2 linked regions of the Lepisosteus oculatus genome follow. The protein of the gene in region 1 purifies or fractionates together with the protein of each later gene. This does not show direct contact. Links are inferred from orthologs where the notes say so. Each region holds a gene or a part of one and is shown in the gene's direction. Other genes may lie near its edges.

Region 1 (3,754 bases):
TGTACTAAACGGGATTTTTTCGTCCCTATCCCTAACATATTCCTTCATTACATCCCTCTTTCACCATCTTACGTTGTGAAATGCAATCAAAACCTCTCACATTTATCAAGATATCATGTCACCTAGCATATTTTCTGATGGAAAGAGAGATGATGTACTGCTCATGTACTGCTCATTCACACAAACACATGCACACATGTTTGTGTGTGACAAACACACACAAACTATTTCAATGTGACAGTGTTCTTTTGGGTATTTCTAGTATTGTTCGTTCTATTCTACTCTTTTCTAGGCAACTAAAACTAAACCTGCAATTGGCCAGTTCACAAGAGAGTCCACACCTCAGGGTGTACAGGCTAAGGTATGTGTAAAGCCATTTGCAGTTCTAATGCTTTATAATTGAGTAGAAGGTACACACGTGTACTTCAACCAAGCATACACAGATAGCTCAATTGTTTCCTCACACTTGTTCTCCAAATGTTGTCTTTCTCTATAAAATGTACAGCTCATCGCATTGAGGGATCGCTGTTCCTGTGCAACTGCAGCAAAATACACAAATGATCTGATGCATTCTTGTACACTACAGCATACATGGCATCTCACTATTTCCTGGGCTCTTCATCTAACAGCGAAATAAGGCCACCCCTGTCCCGAGAGGAAGTTGAAGCTATAATTCGTGAGTGTAGATGGCTTAGGTTATATTCTGAAATAATCTTTTAGTATATTTTGTTCAGGTAAATAATATTTTTCTGTTCTCTTTTTCTTGTTAGCTGAAGTAAAGACTGTGTTCCCTGAGAAGACCCATGCAGAAATCAGAGCCTTTATGAGACAGAAGCTATCTAATGCAGCAAATATTCTAAAACGTCAGTGTGGTGTGGGCCAGGAGAACCAGCATCATGAACATGAGCCAGTCTACCTTTAAATGACCAGCTCCCTTTAACTTCAGCTGTGAATTTATTATTTAAATGTTCTTGTTGTTATTGTTGTATTTGAACTGTTATGATCATATTCTCTATTGATGTAAATATTAATACATTTGGACTTAACTGGTTAATGAATTTTGTACATTTGCCTGTACATTTCATGTTGGCTTTCTATTTTCTCTGCAGTCTTCTTCAGGATTAATAAAGTAGACCTATATATCTATTTATCTGTCAATCATATTTTAATAACTAGTGTTATGTACCATGGTACCCCTACAAGTACCATACGTCTGTCAAAACATCATAGGATAAAACGTACCACATACTCAAGGTACCTTAAGAGTACCATGGTATACAGTATAAGTACAACGGTACTTCTACCATGGTACATGTACTATGGTACTGTCAAAAACACCAAGGTACCGTACCATAGTACTGGTACCATAAATGTACCATGGTACAATTTCTTATGTATAGTTTTACAGATAGGAAAGCCTTCCAAACCTATTAATATGAATATGAGGGTATTACCTTTAAATTTTGATTTAAGTAAAGGAAGTTTTAATTAAGTTTATAATTAAACAGATGAAAACACATTTCTCTTTATCTCTTTTATTTCTCTTTATCGTTTCCCGTTTTCTCTTATTTCCCGTTTTGCGCGCTGCAGAGCGATCAGTTATTAAGTGTGACATCATCAAAGTGCGTCCGTTTGAGGAGCGCCTTGCCCATTGTATTAGTGGTAGATACGTCGAGGTGTCATTTTGTTACACTGACAGTATAAAACGTATTTTAACATTTACGATAATGGAGTCTGCAGATCAAAACATGCAAAAGGCTTCTGAAGAAATAAACAATATGTCTGCATCGAAAAGAAGAGCAGAAATTAGGAGGAGAAAACTGCTGATGAATTCAGAAGACAGAATGAACAGGATCATGGGGTTTAATAAGAGCGACGTAGACGCCAACGGTGAGGCGCTTATTAAAAATACTGAAAACGGGAATGAAAAGGTTCATACAATTGTAATCAAACTATTCATCTGAAAGATTAAAGGACATTAAAGATTACCGATATCAGTAAAAAGACGGATACATTTCCTGTAAATAAATCACACTAGCTACATACCATTACAGCGCAGTTTATCACCACCCTTAACGAATACTTTTGCAAATTCTTTTGTCTTTAATTTAAACCAATCTAAATTAGATGAACACGAATTATATAGGTACTGTATATTTTAATCGTATGCGTTTTGTAACTTTTTTTCTCGTTTGACTTTGATTTAACTGCTTAATATTGGGAAGTATTGTTCTTTGAAAGGTAGATGAGATAATTCATGTGGGGTTTTATAAACTAAAAGCATTAAAGCTATTTTATGTTATTATTTTAAGAATTCGAATAAATCGAGTTTAAAGGAGTGGCACAAGGAGGACACCTGCTACGCCTATCACTGGGCTTGTATATTCTGGTCAGTTGTCTGGAATTGCTGTCACAAAGTTATTAATGCTGAAAGAAGAGGCTATCGGAGAGATTGCATATTTCATGTCTTATTTCTCTATTCAGGTTAAACATATTTTGACATATGTATGCTTGTAATGATCTGTTATAGTGTTAACATTCTGAAAAAAATATGCTGTAGTTGCAAAATAATAATGTCCATGTCTTTTATGAATGATTATGCATTTCCTAAGGCTTTTTGTTTGGCATGAAATCCCTTTTTTTTCAATTTAGGCTTTCTTGGAGATCCAAGTATTTTCATTTTTTTGTTCCAGCTGGGCCCTTAATTACTGTAGCTGATTTGAACCTATAAATGAGACAAACCTTTATTAAGGGACCAGGACCATGAACACGCTTTTGTGATAAAAACAGTATATCAGGTTTCAGTCATATCAGTATGAGTCAGTATGAATCTAATGGGTTATACTCCATCTAACACACATGAACGCGTTAGTACAGGGTTTGTATTAGTATCAAATTTTATTCCCCTTTTGAAAAACTGAAACAGCATTTTAAAAATGGAACTCAGAAAATACATTAGTCTGTAACTAAGAACTGAACTGTTGTGAAAACCAGAAAAGGCATGGGTTTTACAGAAAAGACACTGAGAACTACTAAGGTAGGTGAACCAGTACTGGTTCAGCAATTAAAATGGGAGTAATTAACCCTGTAAATTGGTTTGTCAACTTCTACAATTTATCATCCCATTCTGAAAGAATCCAATTTGTGGTTTGATAATTTTATTCCTTATCTTCTACAAGATGACAGACATACGTTGGAGCCCAGAGTTCCCTTGGATCATGGCAGAGCAGAGCCGCGGTCTCTGTCCGCCCAATCCAAGAGACTTCCAGTCTTCCAGAGTGAGATGGGGGTGAGCAATCACCACGGCGACGTGCCTGAGCGTCAGGGGTCTCCCCTGCGGGAGTGCAGGGACCCCGCGGGCCGCAGCGGCGAGGGCGAAAGCGCTGGGGAGGTGCGGCAGAGATCCCGGGCAGACGTCCCCTCCGACGGCATCCCCCGCTCCCCCCGCCGCGGGCTGCAGCAGTACCTGTCGCGCTTCGATGAGGCCATGAAGCTCCGCAGCCAGCTGATCAGCGAGAAGCCGGCTCAGGAAAACGGCTCGGGCCCAGAGGAGCTAGATGCCTTCCGAGTCTTCCGCCTCATCGGGAGCGTGATGTTAGCCATCACTGTCAGGGTCTTTGTCTGCAAGTATTTGGTATGTCTGTGTCGCAGATCTTTGATTTGTTTGATTTAATCACTTTCCCTCTCCAGCTGGTAAAGATCTGGTTGCAGGAAAGCTAACAAGCTTCACTTTGGTTTGGGGCTTGATCTGTTT
Region 2 (3,754 bases), on another chromosome or scaffold:
ATTTTAACGCTGTGTGAGATATTTAGTACATATCAAACCATTGAATGATCCAAATTGTTTGAGCTATACTACTTAAAACAATGGAATTCATTTCACGCTCATCGACTTTAAAGTAAATCAGATAGAGCTGGTTTTGCAACTTACTTCATATCCCTTGATTCCCTTGATTTCCTCTTGCAAATGTCTACAGGGTTCATGAAGTAACGTTTCTACAAACCATTTTAATATGGGAACATTTATGTCCCATTAAAGCTGTTTCTGTAATTAGTCATCGTTAGCCTTTGGAGTACAAAAAACAGCCGAGGGAAAAAAAAAAGAACAATTGTGTTTTTTGAGAATAACAGATTCTTGGATTAAGCAAAGTCCTCTGCATGCCTGAATTGACATGTAACAAGTGACCTTTTAAAGCCCGTGCAACCTCATTTTGACTGATTTCATCTGTAGTCAAACGCAAAAGAAAGCAGTGCTATAAAACACTCAGCCGTCTCTGTTTATAATTAATTCATGGGGAGTGGTACTATAAATGAGAATGAATGGAATGTGCATGAAAAAGGCCGTCTTTTCGGGAAAAAGGGCCGATGTTAAAAGTGTATAAATGAGCAAAACATGGATCTTTAATCCTGATCCTGGAGGCACAGTGCCTCTCTGCCGAAAGCACCAACACCTGAATCTGGGAGAAGCTGTTAAATTGGTCCATTTAAGCTGATTAAGGGCTGAATTAGAACAACAACAACAACAACACAAACACACACTGACCCTCTAGGACCAGGATTGGTGACCAGTGGCATATGATTTTTAGGTATCATGGTCCTAACCCAAAGTTAATTACAAATTAGTGTCTTGTATTTTAAAATGTGATTAAAACACTTCAACAAAGAACATATTAGGTGATGATTTCCACTTAAATCCTTTATTGGGAATTTGTCATTGATTTTTGTTTAAACAATTTTGATCATACTGTATTTCACATTTTCTCAGGACAGCTGTTTGAGCTACAGATGGTCTAAACATCCTCTGAGCTAACCAAGACAAATTAGTCCTCAACCTGTATGAAAAACCTTATAGCCGACTCTTGAAATCATTCATTCCGCTGTATGGTATTACAAACATTAGATAGAGACAGATGTTGCAATACTGTGGGCTTTCCTGGGGCAGCAGAGAAGAAACCTGTATACTGCTTAATTAGTGAGGGGGAAACCCCAGGAAATGGTTTAATACAACCATACCCAAATCTCTCTGGTACTCATAGTCTGCTGCTGTACAAGAAACTATATAGTGACTGCATTCCGCTGAAGTTTGCTCTCAGTATATTACCGAAGGTAAGTAACTCAATAGTTCTAGGGTTTTACATATCTAGATACCATACTTACTATCATGTTTGAATCAATTCTTCATTGTTTTGAAAGTGTTGTACCCAAGAGTGCTGAACCTCTTGGTCAAGAACTTTATTTTCCATTGCAGTTTTTTTTGTGTACAGAGCTGAAATGTTCAGGACTGTGTTGCTGAGTGGCAAAGCTATCTCATGGATTATGAAATGTCTTTAAACAGTGAAGGCAACAAGATATTGCACAGATGCTAACCATTAACATGTTGTATAAGAATCTTAAATACTAATTCGTTTCTCCTTTTCATATTGACTTCCAGAATATGTGAGCTATTATAACATAGACTGTTTTTTTTTACATGACATCTGTGTGGAGCTGTTCCGTGTTTTCACGTGTCGAAAATAATTAATGGAAGATTCTAGAAACAGCTGTTTAGGAGAGACTTTGGAATACCAAAATAAATGTTTTAAGCGTAACTCTCATTGACAGAGCTACTGAAAAACAGTGAGGATTTTGCTTGATTTTCACATGCTTTGATTCAGAATCAACTAAAGGAAAAGACTCAAATAGATAAGGTTCCACACGCCTTTTCAGGATTTTAACAAGATCAAAAAAGCATTGTTAAAATTCTCAGTAGGTAATATATAGTATAAGACATCTTTGGACCTGAAAAATAGAAACCTGGTGCTAAAAGATTTATGGCAATCTTTTATAGCAATCCATCCTTCACAAACACTGACACATATATGTAACTGCTGTTTTTTTAAATTGGTTGAAACACTAATATGAGCATATTATGATATGTAATATAACGTAGATACAATAAAAACATGAAAATGTAACTGGAAAATAGGTTTACACGTTGTATCCAAGGTAAAAATCATTCAGTACATTTTGGGCTGTAGCTTTTAAAAAGGAAATTTGTAAAAATCAGTAAAACTGTACATTTCTGTCTTTAATCCACTGTATTTCCATCTTCTCCATCCTTTTTTTAAGAACTTTCTAAGACTATTCTAAAGTAAATTCAGTTTTGACTTCTAAATGTGATAGTAATGAAAAAAAATAGAAATTGCAGCTCATTTCTTTAATGAATCTTACAAGATATATTATTGCAAAATAAGCAAATTTGCTTAACATGTGATCTAAATTACACTTAATAAAATCATAAATAACATTTACTATTTTATTTAGTTTATATACAGTATACCATGTATTGGTACATTTATGCAACTGTATAAAAGAAATATTATTCCAGGATTCAAGGGCAAATTTAAAAGGTGGCTTTCAATAAGAAACTAATTTAGCGCTGAAGCCCAGAGTTCAGTTCTTAGGGTGCTGTCCGTGTGGAGTTTGTATGTTCTTTCTGTGTTCATGTGGGTTTTCACCAGTTGCTCCAGTTTCCACCCACAGTCCAAAGACATAGGACATAGGGCGGTAGCTCTGTGGCTAAGGATCTGCGCCTGTGGCTGAAAGGTTGCTGGTTCATGCTGGTCCCGGGGCCGGCAGAGGGATCCTACTCCGTTGGGCCCCTGAGCAAGGCTCTTAACCCCAACTGCTCCAGGGGCGCCATATAAATGGCTGACCCTGCGCTCTGACCCCAAGCTTCTCTCTCCCTGCCTCTGTGTCTCATGGAGAGCAAGCTGGGGTATGTGAAAAGAAATTCCTAATACAAGAAATTGTATATGGCCAATAAAGTGATCTCATACTGGCAGACTAATTGGCTCTGGGAAAAATGGCCCTGGTGTGAGTGTGTTGTGTCTGTATGTCCTGCTATAAACTGAAATGTGTAATCATGGACTTTAAAACTTGTATACCCTACTCAGAAAATGAATTTGTCTCAGAATAAAAGGTAAGCATTGGAAGACTATCTTTTGCATAACGTATTATGCGTTAGTCCTACGCGAGTTTTAAAACGCGCTTCAAAAGATCTCAATTACAGTTACTCATAGATCAAATCTGTCTCAAAGTAACTGTCTCTTGCGCACATGCTAGACAGAAACATGGTATTGTATTCTGATTGATCAAGGCCGTGATACTAGGCTAGGAATCCAAACATCCAAACGTAGTTCCCATATGCGGCACGAGCCTTTTTAATCAGCATGATAAGTTAACTAGAATGACTAATGAATATTTGTTGATGTTGTTTTCCAGAGACCAGGCAATATGAGACGCTGCCCTGACAGAGAGTACTGGGACAGGCTTGTCCGAAAATGTATGCCTTGCAAGAACATGTGTCGGGGTCAGCCCCAGCCCGAGAAATGTGTCCCTATCTGTGGTTAGTGTTGTCCCTGTCTCTGGGAGATCTTCCTGTCTACTATGAGTGCAAGATAGCCTTTAAAACACAAAAGCTTCTGAAATACGGACGCAGAGGCTTAAATAATTCAAGCATGTGCTCAGAGTGTTCTACACTGGAAATGGCTTACTAAAGT

What was found. Proteins that work in one complex are often made in the same cells at the same time.
Region 2: the proteins of camlg (region 1) and tumor necrosis factor receptor superfamily member 13B purify together in Homo sapiens (affinity purification with western blotting; 3 studies listed by BioGRID and IntAct, with this or other methods). This does not show direct contact. The link is inferred for Lepisosteus oculatus from reciprocal best matches to the Homo sapiens genes CAMLG and TNFRSF13B.

The regions. Positions count from the first base shown.
Region 1 is NC_090706.1:23,728,654-23,732,407, reverse strand, and holds the start of camlg (guided entry of tail-anchored proteins factor CAMLG), read left to right. Parts: upstream 1-1,627; 5' UTR 1,628-1,727; coding exon 1,728-1,890; intron 1,891-3,179; coding exon 3,180-3,634; intron 3,635-3,754. UniProt on the Homo sapiens protein: Required for the post-translational delivery of tail-anchored (TA) proteins to the endoplasmic reticulum.
Region 2 is NC_090714.1:4,625,708-4,629,461, reverse strand, and holds the start of tumor necrosis factor receptor superfamily member 13B, read left to right. Parts: upstream 1-1,251; 5' UTR 1,252-1,319; intron 1,320-3,476; 5' UTR 3,477-3,488; coding exon 3,489-3,600; intron 3,601-3,754. UniProt on the Homo sapiens protein: Receptor for TNFSF13/APRIL and TNFSF13B/TALL1/BAFF/BLYS that binds both ligands with similar high affinity. Mediates calcineurin-dependent activation of NF-AT, as well as activation of NF-kappa-B and AP-1.